3 linked regions of the Canis lupus familiaris genome follow. The protein of the gene in region 3 purifies or fractionates together with the protein of the main gene of each other region. This does not show direct contact. Links are inferred from orthologs where the notes say so. Each region holds a gene or a part of one and is shown on either strand. Other genes may lie near its edges. The genes, in order: PDCL3, TLE2 and CCT6A.

What was found.
Region 1: the proteins of CCT6A (region 3) and PDCL3 purify together in Homo sapiens (affinity purification with mass spectrometry; 3 studies listed by BioGRID and IntAct, with this or other methods). This does not show direct contact. The link is inferred for Canis lupus familiaris from reciprocal best matches to the Homo sapiens genes CCT6A and PDCL3.
Region 2: the proteins of CCT6A (region 3) and TLE2 purify together in Homo sapiens (affinity purification with mass spectrometry; 3 studies listed by BioGRID and IntAct, with this or other methods). This does not show direct contact. The link is inferred for Canis lupus familiaris from reciprocal best matches to the Homo sapiens genes CCT6A and TLE2.

The regions. Positions count from the first base shown.
Region 1 is NC_049231.1:43,274,075-43,278,230, reverse strand, and holds the start of PDCL3 (phosducin-like protein 3), read left to right. Parts: upstream 1-1,301; 5' UTR 1,302-1,426; coding exon 1,427-1,432; intron 1,433-3,521; coding exon 3,522-3,651; intron 3,652-4,156. UniProt on the Homo sapiens protein: Acts as a chaperone for the angiogenic VEGF receptor KDR/VEGFR2, increasing its abundance by inhibiting its ubiquitination and degradation.
Region 2 is NC_049241.1:56,607,759-56,611,841, forward strand, and holds the start of TLE2 (transducin-like enhancer protein 2), read left to right. Parts: upstream 1-1,207; 5' UTR 1,208-1,296; coding exon 1,297-1,320; intron 1,321-1,399; coding exon 1,400-1,497; intron 1,498-1,936; coding exon 1,937-2,000; intron 2,001-2,401; coding exon 2,402-2,446; intron 2,447-4,083.
Region 3 is NC_049227.1:465,356-468,997, reverse strand, and holds part of CCT6A (T-complex protein 1 subunit zeta), read right to left. Parts: intron 3,540-3,642; coding exon 3,443-3,539; intron 3,114-3,442; coding exon 2,966-3,113; intron 2,921-2,965; exon of another isoform or gene 2,781-2,920; intron 2,316-2,780; coding exon 2,182-2,315; intron 1,448-2,181; coding exon 1,345-1,447; intron 118-1,344; coding exon 45-117; intron 1-44. UniProt on the Homo sapiens protein: Component of the chaperonin-containing T-complex (TRiC), a molecular chaperone complex that assists the folding of actin, tubulin and other proteins upon ATP hydrolysis.

The sequences.
Region 1 (4,156 bases), on a different chromosome or scaffold from region 3:
GGAGAGACTGTGACTTAGAGCAAGGTAAGAGTCTTCGACAAAAGTGGGAGACACACATTTCCACAGAGGAGGTTGTGCAGTTTGAGCCTTTGGCTTGTCAATCTCTGGAGAGAGGAATCACCAGGTGGGGATGAGTCCTGTTCTGAGGAAATAGGGCTGGGAGTGAAGAAAGGCTATAACAGCACCCACTTTATTGCTGTGGAAGGTTGCAAAGCTTAGCATAGGGCCAAACTCACCCCAAACTAGTCTGGTTCCTGATTTTGGTAGTAAGACAAGGGACAATGCATTCACAGTTTGCTGCAGATAAATAAATAAACAAATATTTCAGGAGACCTGTAATTCTGCGGTAAGGAGTTAGGTAAATATTAAGAATCCTTATAAATTATAAAAACCAAAGCTCCTTGCCTTCAAGGAATCATTTTATTTTCACTCTGTATCCCTGGTTTTGCATGTTAGCAGCAAAGACCTGAGGATCTTCAAGAAAATACCAGTTCCAGTCAACTCTTTTGACTGGGGATGGTGCCCCAGCATAACTGCAGTGTTTGAAAGCTCCCAGGGGGTCGACGTTGGGAGTCGTGAGCCCACTCCCAGATGTGCGGATGTGTATCTTCTGTGTTTGCTTCATTGCTGAGGCCGCACGTCAGCCCAGCTGTCCCAGGAGTGAGATTACTTTCTTAACTCAAATTCGGAGCGCTGTGTAGCCAGAAGCCTGGAGCCCAGCACCTGCATTTTTACAATTTAGATTCTTCTGGTTTACTCGGTGCCTCCTGTGTGCCTGGGCAGGGCCGAACACTTGCAAAGATGGGCCGCCTGAGGCTTAACCAGGTGAAATGACTTTCACCTTTTTGTCTGTCGTAATCACCGCCGTATCCGCAGAGCCTAGACTAGTGCCTGGTGCACATAGGCTCCTGGTAAGTATGTGTCTGAATTAACTGCCTTATCTGACGCTGAAACGATAAGCGAGTGAATTCCGGACGACCCTGCATCATTTTCAATTGTAACACTGGCGCACTGAAACACCTTTCTACTTCTGACTTCGGGAGCCGAGCCCTCCTTACAACGGTAGGGTCTGAGGCAGCAGACGACACCTCGCAACGAGCACCTCCTCCATCTGGCCCCACCTTTCCAAGGACCGAGGCCTGCCCTAATAAGGTAGCAAAGAGAAGGGGCTCCGGGTCACGTGACGCCAGCGGACCGCCCCCCCGCACTGACAGGACCCCATGCGCATGCGCACAGCTTCCGCGCCGGTTTCTAGAGCAGCGGGCGCAGGCGCAGACGTCTCGCTGACTCCCTGGCTCCGCCCTGCTCTCTGCTAGGGGGCGGGGCCAAGGCCGGGCTGGAAGGGGGGGGTGGCGGCTGGGCGCATGCGCAGAGAGCTGAGGGGCGGGGACACGGCTTCCGCCTGGCGTGACCAACTTTGGGCACCATGCAGGTAAAGAACCTGGGGGGCCGAGGCCTGGGGGGGCCGCAGCGCGTCTGCCCCGCTGGGTCCGTGGCAGCGGCAGACCGTCTGGGCTGGGACCGTGGGGAGCGCCGGGCGCCACCGGCGCAAGAAAGGTCACGCGAGCCTAGGCGGAGCGCAGGCGCAGGCGCAGTGCGGGAGGGCGGGCGTGGTCCCGCCGGGCGCCGCGGGCTGGCTACCCGCACCCCGTGGGCCTCGCCCCTAAATCTCAGGCTTTTGGGGCCGTCCCGTGGCGTGTGTGAACAGCTCGCCCATCCCACCTGACAGGGTTACTTCCTGTTTGTTAATTCTCTTCGCACCTGAGCAAGTGTGTCAGGGGCCCGTTGTGTGGATGTGGAAGCTGAGGCGGATGAGGGAACGGTCCCGCCTGGAGATCCCATGACGTAATCGGTGTCGCAGCCCGTGTCCCCGACCCCACCCGGAGCGGGAGCCGGAGCCGGAGCCGGGTGAGGGATCTGTCCCATCCTCTCCCTCCCTCGCGCTGGTGTGCAGGTTGAGGTGCGCTCCCCTCTCCGATTCCCCGGTTCCCAGCTCAGCCCTAGGTCCTTCTCAGTTACTGTCTGAAAATAGATAAAACCAAACCCCCTAGTTTTGTCCTCTTTTTTTTTTTTTTTTTCGTATCAGAAATTTTCTAATGGAATTGGACAAACTTACAGCGAAAGAAAATGAAGACATCATGGAAATTAGCAAAAGTTTCGGACTAAATGCTGCCCCTTGTCGAAGGACCCTTTGCCAGAGGTCATCCTGCTGCTTCCTAGACCTCACTGTAGTTAGGGATTCTGATGAAATCCTCGCTGGCTAAGTGGCACATGACAAATGGAGTTAGTGTGGGTTTGCTTGGGAGCTGGGCAGGATAAGCGTCTACAAATAGAGTGTGTCTACCAGAAGCCAGACACTCGGGAGTGGGGAAGAGAGAGCTCCAGGGCTGCCCTGGCCTCCTTGGCGTTCTCTGTCCCTTAGAACCCTGCGTTGAAATGTCATTTCTTGAGCGCCTTCCCTGACCACCCCGTTGAAAGGATTCTGTTCATTTTCTTTTGATAGATCTCAGCAAGACAGTGACGTGGAGTTGGGGCTGCAGCCTGGCTGTTTTAGTGCTCTCTCCACAGTGCTCTTGGAGTTCCTATGCCAGACCAGGTCCATTAGCAGTGTTCTAGCCAAGCCAGGCAAAACCAGTGTTTGACTCGCTAGTTTGGGGAGCTAGAGCCCACTTTGACATGTATCCTTCTGACATTTGATCCTGGTAAATTTGACTCGTCCCAGTATGACAGTGTCTTCCTAAATGTCACATCTTTTCCTAGGCTTGTGAGGATTTACTAAGTAGGTCCAGGTAAAGGGCTTCAGAGAGTGCCCAGCACCTGGTACTCAGTAGGCGTTAGCCATTGTGAGCTATTCCAAGGGGTCTCCGTTCTTCCTCTCAGGTTGAGCTGTTTGAGAATTTGTCAGCCTAGGATCAGGCTCTCCTCCTCCTGACTCTACTGGAGCCACTTAGAACTTTACGATACTCCTATCTCCATTCTTGGGCCCTTTGCACATGCTGGTTCCTCTGCCTGGAAAGTAATTTCTTAAGTTATCATTCCTCACGTCTGCTTCCTTCTCACTTTTCAGTGATGGTTAAATATCTACTTCTGAGACAATATCCCTACCCATTCTGTGGAATGCAGACCTCTTACAACTCTCTAGATCGACAGCTTGTTGATCATTACACTTGCCACAAGCATTTAGTATATGTTGAATGAATCACTCTGAAGCATTAATAAAAATATCAAATAGAAGCCAGGTTAGAGTCCTGGTGTGAGAATTGATACTGATTTGCACATCATATCCTGATTTTTACCAAAGGCTATTTACTGGGTGTGTGTCTTGCATGGTGAGGGTGAAATTGAATGAACAGGAAAAGAACAGGGCTGGTGGATCTTTTGACACTTTCTCAGAAATAGGCCACAGAATAATTTGGTTTGAATTCCTCTTCCCGCCACCTTTCCCATTCAACCCTTTCCCCAACATGGCACCCTTTGTAGTGTACTTTGCACTCATAGTATTTTTGGTCCACTTCCCCCAGGACCCTAATGCAGACACTGAGTGGAATGACATCTTACGCAAAAAGGGCATCTTGCCCTCAAAGGAAAGTTTGAAAGATTTGGAAAAGGAGGCAGAAGAAGAAGAACAGCGAGTCCTTCAGCAGTCAGTTGGTGAGATTGCTTATATTCTTTATTTGTTCTGTCTGTGGATTAAGAAACAACTTTTTAAGCCTCTAACTGCTTTGGTAGAAGGATGTTCTGAGCAGGAATTGGGAACCAGGGATTGGAGTGCTGGGATAGACACTATTTCTGGGACCTTAAGTGTGTCACAGGCTGTCCTCTAACCTTCAACTTCCTGAGCTGTAGAATTTCCACATTTCCACAGCTTCTTGTCTGTATCAGATGAGCACCTGATAATCCTGAAGAAAATATTTCTGAGTCTTGACTTAATGCCCCATTGATCACAGGGGCCAATACTTTTGTCTTCTTCCATGTTAGAGCTAATTTAGAGATGAATTCACTAGAAAGCATTTATCCAGTGAATGTTTATTGAATAATGACTGTCTACCAGGTGTTATTCTAAGCACTGGGGCTCTTGCTGTATACAGACCAGACAAAACATCCCTGTTCTTATGGGGCTTACATTCTAGTGAGAGAGACAGACAATAAACAAGAC
Region 2 (4,083 bases), on a different chromosome or scaffold from region 3:
ATCGCCAAGCTGTGATTGTGCCTTGTCCGCAGAGCTCGGAGAGGGCCAGAATCGCTTCCCCTTCGGTCACCCTCGTATTCCTGGCACCTGGAAGGATACCTGGCCCCTGATAGATGCTCAATAAATTATCTGTTGGCTGGAAGGCGGTGCTGCTCAGCTCGGGAGGGCTTCGTCTACTTTGGCTCCCCCGCCTCCAACACAGGGGCAGGCATCACCGCGAGGCAGGGGTTTCTCTCTATTTTGTGTCCGCTGCGCCTCGGTGCCTAGAGCTGTGTCTGGTCCGCAGGAGGTGCTCCAGGCATGCTTGTTGACCGACTTAACAAACTTTGAGGTTTTTCCTACCAAGATGGGAGCAAGGAGGTGCGATGTCCCAGGTGAGTGTGGGGGATGCTCCCAGGCTGGCTGCGGTCTGTGCCCCCAGTGGAGCGCCTGCCCCCAGCGACCCCGGTCTGGTGGCAGGGATTCGGCTGCCCTTCTCAGGGCCTGCTCTGCCCTCTAGGAGCTCGCAGTCTGCTGCTGGTGGCAAGGGGAGTCCGAGTCCCAGCTGCGGGAGTTTGCTCGTGCAGGGCCAGGCTGGGGGCTGTTCAGGCCCCATCTCCTTAAAGGACAGCTCCAGGCTCTGCCGTTTTACAGATGCGAATACTGAGGCCGGAGGGGGCGAGCGGGGTCTGCCCTCCTCGGTGCAGGTTGCCGGCCTCCTCCAGAACCTGTCTCAGCCCTCTCCCTCGGGAGGGCCCCTTCACCCCAACCGCCCCCTCCCCAGCACGCTGCCCCCCACAGCACCCCCCCGCCCCCCGCCGAGGTGTGTCTGGCTTCCCTGCACGTCTCTCCTCCGGGGAGGGAGCGGGCGGCGTCGGCGGGGCACTGGGCGCGGGCCTCAGTTTCCCCACGGGGCCCGGCCGGGGGCGGGGCGGGGGCGGGGTCCCGGGGCGCGGGCCCGAGGCGCGGGGGGCGCGGCGGGCGGGCGGGTGGGCGGGCCGGGGGGCGGCGGCGCCACCTTAAGGCGGCTCTGCCCGCGGCTCCCGGCCGAGCCCCGCCGGAGGGAGGCGGCTCCGCGCGGGGCCCGCCGCCCGCGCCTCCGCCGACACCGGGCCGCGGCTCGCGCGACCTTCGCGCCCGCCCCGCGCCCGCGCCCCCGCCCCGCCCCCGCCCCGCGCGCTCGGGGGGGCGCGGGCGCTCCGGGTCCCGGCCCCGCGCCGCCGCGCCCCTCCTGCTGCCTCCGGGCGCCCCCGGCCCCGCCGCCGCCCCCCCGGGATCGTCGGGCTCCGGCGGCGCGGGGGCCTCCGCATCGCCAGGATGTACCCCCAGGGGAGGCACCCGGTGAGTGGGGGCCCGGGCCGCGCGGGGGCGGGGGGCGCGGGCGCCCGGAGCTCAGACCCCGCCGCGCCCCCGCCCGCAGACCCCGCTCCAGTCCGGCCAGCCCTTCAAGTTCTCGATCTTGGAGATCTGCGACCGCATCAAAGAGGAATTCCAGTTTCTTCAGGCTCAGTACCACAGGTGAGGGGGGCGGGGGCGCCGCGCCCCGGGGGAGCCGGGAGCTCACCTGGGAGCTCACCTGGGAGCTCACCTGGGAGCCCCCCGGGGGGGGGGGACGGGCCCGCTGGGGGCCCCCGGGCGCAGCCAGGCGGGGGCGGGGCCTCCAGGGTGCCGGGAGGAGGGAGCCCCCCCTGCAGGGCCGAGGGAGGGCTTCCAGGTGGAAGCGCAGGTGAGGTGGCCGGGGACGCTCAGCACTGGGGCGCTTGGAGCCTGAGAAGGGGCGGGAAGGGACTGGACGGAGGTGGGGCGGCGAGCAGGAAGTGGGGACAGGGGACGGAGCCAAAGCCATCACTTTGGAAACTGGCCCAGACCGGGTATCTCTGCGTCCTGTGCCGGGTGGGGCGCGGTGGGAGTAGAGGCAGGGCGCAGAGTGGGATCCCCATGCTCCTCTCCTTCCCAGCCTCAAGCTGGAGTGTGAGAAGCTGGCCAGTGAGAAGACAGAAATGCAACGACATTATGTCATGGTGAGGGGCTTCGGGTGCCAGGAGCTGCGGGCAGTGGGGAGGGGGCTCCGCTGTGACTGAAAGCGCTGGGGGTTTGACTCCCCGCTCACCCTGCCCCTCCGGGCCTCATTTTCCGTCTTGTAAAGGGGGCTGGTTGGGATTCCTGGCCATCCTACAAATAATGAGGCAAGGATGTCCCCTCTCCTGATGGGCATCTCTGAGGGGCCGGGGTCTCTGGGCACCTCCTCCTGCCACCCTCCCTGCTTGCTCCTCTGGTCTTCCCCTCTGGGCTTGGGGGGAGGCTCTGTGCCCTGCTGTGATTCCCCCAGCCTGGGGGCTCCCCGGAAGCCCCAGCATCACCCAGCTCAAGGCTGGGCACCAACTGGCACAGTAGACATTCCCAACTGGCTCTTCCTTTGCAGTATTATGAGATGTCCTACGGGCTCAACATCGAAATGCATAAACAGGTAACTGTTGGGGCTCGGGGTGTTCAGGAGGAAGGGTGAGGGTCTGGAAGCTGTGAGAGAGACCCAGCGCTCAGGCAGTCCGGGTCTTATCCTGAAATCTCTGGGACCAGGGGGCCAGATTTCAGCCTCACAGAAGGAAAACAGTTCTGAACTTCTGGAGACAGGGTCCAGCAGAGAGGCGAGAAGTGGGCAGGAGCCAGGTGTCCCTGTCAAGGAGGGCTTGTGGCAGAGGCTGCAGCCAGGTCGGGCAGGCAGTGGAGGTGACTTCTGGCCCAGGGAGGTCCCTTTCAGGCCAGAGAGTCTCATGTTTGGAGGATGGATCCTGATGATCTGAGCTGGACCCCAAGCTGCTGTTGATGCTTTAAAGGATGTAAGATTGGCCCTAGTGCCCTGAGGGTCCGAGACTCTCATCAGCTTCTGAGTGTGATGCAAGGTTCTCAGACCAGAAGGGTCTCAAATTGACTCCAGTTGTTCAAGATTAACCCCGAGACGGGGTGCCCAGGTGGCTCAGTCGGTTAAGCATCCGACTCTTGATCTCAGCTCAGGTCTTGATCTCAGAGGCGTGAGTGCAAGCCCCATCTGTGTTGGGTTCCACGCTGGGTACCAAGCCTACTTAAAAAAAGAAAAAAAAATTAACCCCAAGGACCTGACACTGACCTCAAGGTTCTCTGATAGATGAGGGACCCCAAAAGATTGTGAGGTTGATGGGGTCTTAGGTTCTGTCCCTGAGACTATCAGAACAGGGTAGGGGTGGGGGGGGTGGAGCCTAAAACAACACTCCTTCCGGGTGGGTGGGAAGAGGAGGGGGAGTGGGCTAAGAGTGTGGGCTGCCTCAGGGTGCCCGCCCTGGTGTGCTTTTCTGGGTATGCGTGGGCTCTGCTGGCTCTGGTGTGGGCCGCGGCGGGCGGGGGCTGACCTGGCTGGAGTAGGGCGTGGTCCTGGGGGTTCATGAAATAGACCATCTTAGGGGGTGGGAGGGGGCAGGCAGGTGCTAGGGCCCGGCCCCCACCCTCCCAGTGGGAACTCAAGCCCTGCCCAGATGCACGAGGCACACAGCACCCCTCTAACCCCGGCAGAGGCGAAGCATAGCCTGACCCTGCACACACCTGGATATGCCATACCTGCCCCTCTCCCCCTGCCCCCATGCAGCTTTCCCTCTGTTCAGCCTCTCAGGGCTCCCCTGGCTCAGATCCTGTCCCCGAAGACACCTGCTTGTAAAACCACAGCCTCCCCTCCACTCCCTGTACTTCTGCGCCCAAACGTGTGGGTTTCCCCACATACCAGCCGATTCTCCAGCTACGACACCAGCAGATGTCCTGAGATTCAGCTTGATTCTGACACTCTGCCTGGAATTAGCTCAGACCTCACAGGTGCGGGGCTCGGCCCCACCAGGCTGCCCCTGTTGCAGATGCCAAGCAAAAGTCTGGGTCTCTGGCCCAAGCGTCTGACCGTTCAGCTATATATAAGTTGAGGGTTCCCGTAATCCCCACCTCAGGTTCAATAATTTGCCCAAACAGTCCCCAGAACTCAGGGAAACAGTTGGCTTGTTAGATTACCCGCTTATCCTATAGGATCGGATTCAGGAACAGCCAGATGGAAGAGAGGCGCGGGGCGAGGCATGGGGCGGGGGCGCAGAG
Region 3 (3,642 bases):
GATATTCCTAAAGGTTATTTTAATTTTGGCTTTCTTAAACTTACCAAGAGTGAAGAAGCTGTTTCTTTACACAATAGTTATCCCATATGCCTACTTCGGCGGCTACCATTGGCTCACCTGAAAAGTAACCCAGTATTCTTAAAATCTCAGAGAAGAGAGAGAGAGAGAAGCACAGGCACAGGCAGAGGGAGAAGCAGGCTCTCTGCAGGGAGTCTGATGTGGGACTCAATCCCGGGTCTCCAGGATCACGCCCTGGGCCAAAGGCAGTGCTAAACCCCTGAGCCACCGGGGCTGCCCTCACACAGCAAATTATAAAGATCAAAATGCTAAGACAACAGAGTATTTTATGATTTGTTCATCATTGATTATTCTATGAACCAAAGTTCCTCAGTCCAATTTTGCTCCAAACCATGACTCTTGTGTCCAGTGTCTTTAAGTGGCTGATCCCTACTCAGAAAACTTCCAGTAATAGTAATACTCCATTTGGTTACCAAATGTTTGAACATCCCTATTTTTCAAGACACATTCATTCTGTTTGTCCATATTAGAGCACTTGAACTATAATCTGGCCAAAATGGGTTTATCATTTCCTTCATCCCAGAAACCTTTTCTATTAACTTGGATGGAAATGCTATTGACAACAAAGGTCTTATGTATGCTGCAGGGGTGTGTATCTCAGTTATCTTTCTTCCACTTTGTACTTAAATATTTTGTGTTACTGCATTTAAGACTAGGGCTTTAAATCATTTAAGATTTGGTCCTGTCTTCTAGCATTATTTGCTATACTCAGCCTTTTTTCACCCATGAATACGATCATCTATTTTCTTATTAAAGTCCCTGATGGAAAACTAAGTAAAAGCCAGCCCAACACGAAATCTTTCTGTATTAACCTGAGCCACCTACTACTACTCAGCAAAATCAACAAATCTATACTCTTTTAAAATTATACAAACGTCCACTCTATTCCCTTTGTTTACTGAATCTAGTCATCCCATTTTTATATCGTATTTCAGAAATCAGGGTTCCCTAGTAACACTGGTGTCAAACTGTAAAGCACCTCTCCAAGATTCATTTGTCTCCATTTTTTTTAAAAAGAATTATTTATTTATTTATTCATAGAGACACAGAGAGAGAGAGAGGCAGAGACACAGGCAGAGGGAGAAGCAGGCTCCCTGCAGGGAACCCAATGCGGGACTTGATCCTGGGTCTCCAGGATCACACCCTGGGCCGCAGGCGGCACTAAACCGCTGCGCCACCGGGGCTGCCCATTTGTTCCTTTTTTGATCCTTCCTGGTTTTATCTCACCGGACTCTAGTTCCCCTACAAATAGCTGCATTCTCTTACCTGTGTTCAAGTCCACACCCACAAGTTGACCTGATTCTGAATGTTCTGCTTGAACTTTAACTAGTGTTTCCTGAAGGTCAAAACCAGAGTTCTGAGCAAGAACCTAAAGCAAAAAAATTTAATCTTTTAAAGGACAGAACCTAAGAAGTGTCAATCTGTAATAAACCATAATTCTAAATAAGAAAAAACAAAAAAACCCATCAAAAAACCTCAATGAAGACAGACCAGTTATTCTCTAAAGTGAACATTAGAGAATAACTAGACATTTGTTACTAACTCATTACTCCACCCCAAGCCCAGCAACACACTGGTCATAAAACTATGCCAAGTGAGCACACAACAGAATAAAAACAAAACGTAAGCTTGTACTCAAGTATAACCCCTATACTGCAAATCCTCTTAAAACAGTTTACCTCCTGCCTCTGAAACTTCAGATATTCAACTCCCTTCCAGAAGAACCAAATACATTTGGATAAGAGATAGCGGTTTTTTTTTTTTTTTTAAAGATTTTATTTATTTATTCATGAGAGACAGAAAGAGAGAGAGAGAGAGAGAGGCAGACACACAGGCAGAGGGAGAAGCAGGATCCATGCAGGGAACCTGATGTGGGACTCGATCCCAGGTCTCCAGAATCATGCTCGCGGCTGAAGGCAGCGCTAAACCAATGAGCCACCCTGGGCTGCCCAAGAGATAGCTTCTTTAGCTATATTCGGGAGAAAGCTGGTAAAACTTGTTTAACTCCAACTCTACATTATGAGAAAGACTCCACGTTAATAAAAAACTTTCATCAGCTAACTCATTTTGATGTAGTTAAGAAAACTGTTAAAGTAGTCATACCTTGGGAATAATGAGCAATGCATCAGCAAATGCTTGAACTCCCAGCTGGGCCCTCCCCTTTACACTGGGCTTATATTTAATCAAGGCTTCTGCCATTGCCACTTCCACTGCACCCGCACCCGGAACTACACAGCCTGTTGGGGGTGGGAAGGAAGGAGAGAAATGATCAACTACGAAGAAAATAAAACTGTGGAATCATTAAGAAAATACATAAAACACAAACATAAAAAGCATTAATTTCTTGAGAATGTGGAATAGCCACAATATTGCATTTGAAAACACTATAAGCAACACATTATATTTCTAAAATATTATATATTAGAAATATAGATTTCTCTGGAAGAAAAACATTAAATAGCAAAATGCTTCAATTTAACTAGTACTTGGAAGGTTACTATTAGTTCATTTTCTTCTATCACTTTTTTTAAAAAAGATTTTATTTATTTATGAGACAGAGAGAGAGAGAGAGACAAGAGACCTAGGTAGAGGGAGAAGCAGGTTCCCCTTAGGGAGCCCAATGTGGGATTTGATCCCTGAACTCCAGGATTGCGCCCTGAGCCAAAGGCAGACAGTTAACCACTGAGTCACCCAGGTTACCTACTTGTATTCACTTTTAAAAATGATATGCTATGAAAAAGCTTAGCACACCATTAGAGGCATTTTAAAGGGAACACTTTACTTTTGCATGGTGTCTGGCTGTGTAAACTACTGATAAAAAGAACACAGTATTCAGCCATGCTTTTTTTATACTTGTAAAAGAATATAAACACAGTAAGCATCTTACCATCATCAATAGCATTTTTAACAGCCCTCAAGCCATCTCTTATTGCATCTTTGATTTGAGTGAGTGTGTGCTTATTTGGTCCTTTGATCAATAATGTGACAGAGCGAGGATTGTTACACTTCTCAATGAAAGTGAATTTCTCTTCTCCCTATGTGAAAAAGAGGTATTTTCAAAATAGGGTATGTTTGTACCAAGACTGGGAACGACTAGAGGAGCTTATAAAAGAGTAAGTAACATATTAAAAAGGGAACAACATACCCATCACATTAAAGCAAATTACTTCATAAAAAAAGGTCACATATAAAAGCAATGTGATTTTCCCCATCAATGCCTTATCATTACTACACATAACCTTCAAAATGTATGTAAACAAAGCAAGAATATGATCCTAGGTTTGAATGAATTTTTTTTTACTACCGAAGAATTCAAGAACCAAAGAACATTATCATATTATCTTCAGAAAAGAAATACACTTACCAACGTATACTCATAGACAAGTCCTGCATGTCCCAAACAATCAGGATTTAGGTCATCGAAAGAATTTAGAGCTACTCCACCACAAGCAAGAGTCAGCCTGAAATATTGAAGTATTTTAAAGGAGACATATTAAGTAGCTTTGTTATGTTTAAAGAGATTAATAATTTTTAGGAAGCAATCTTTCAGAATTACACACTAAA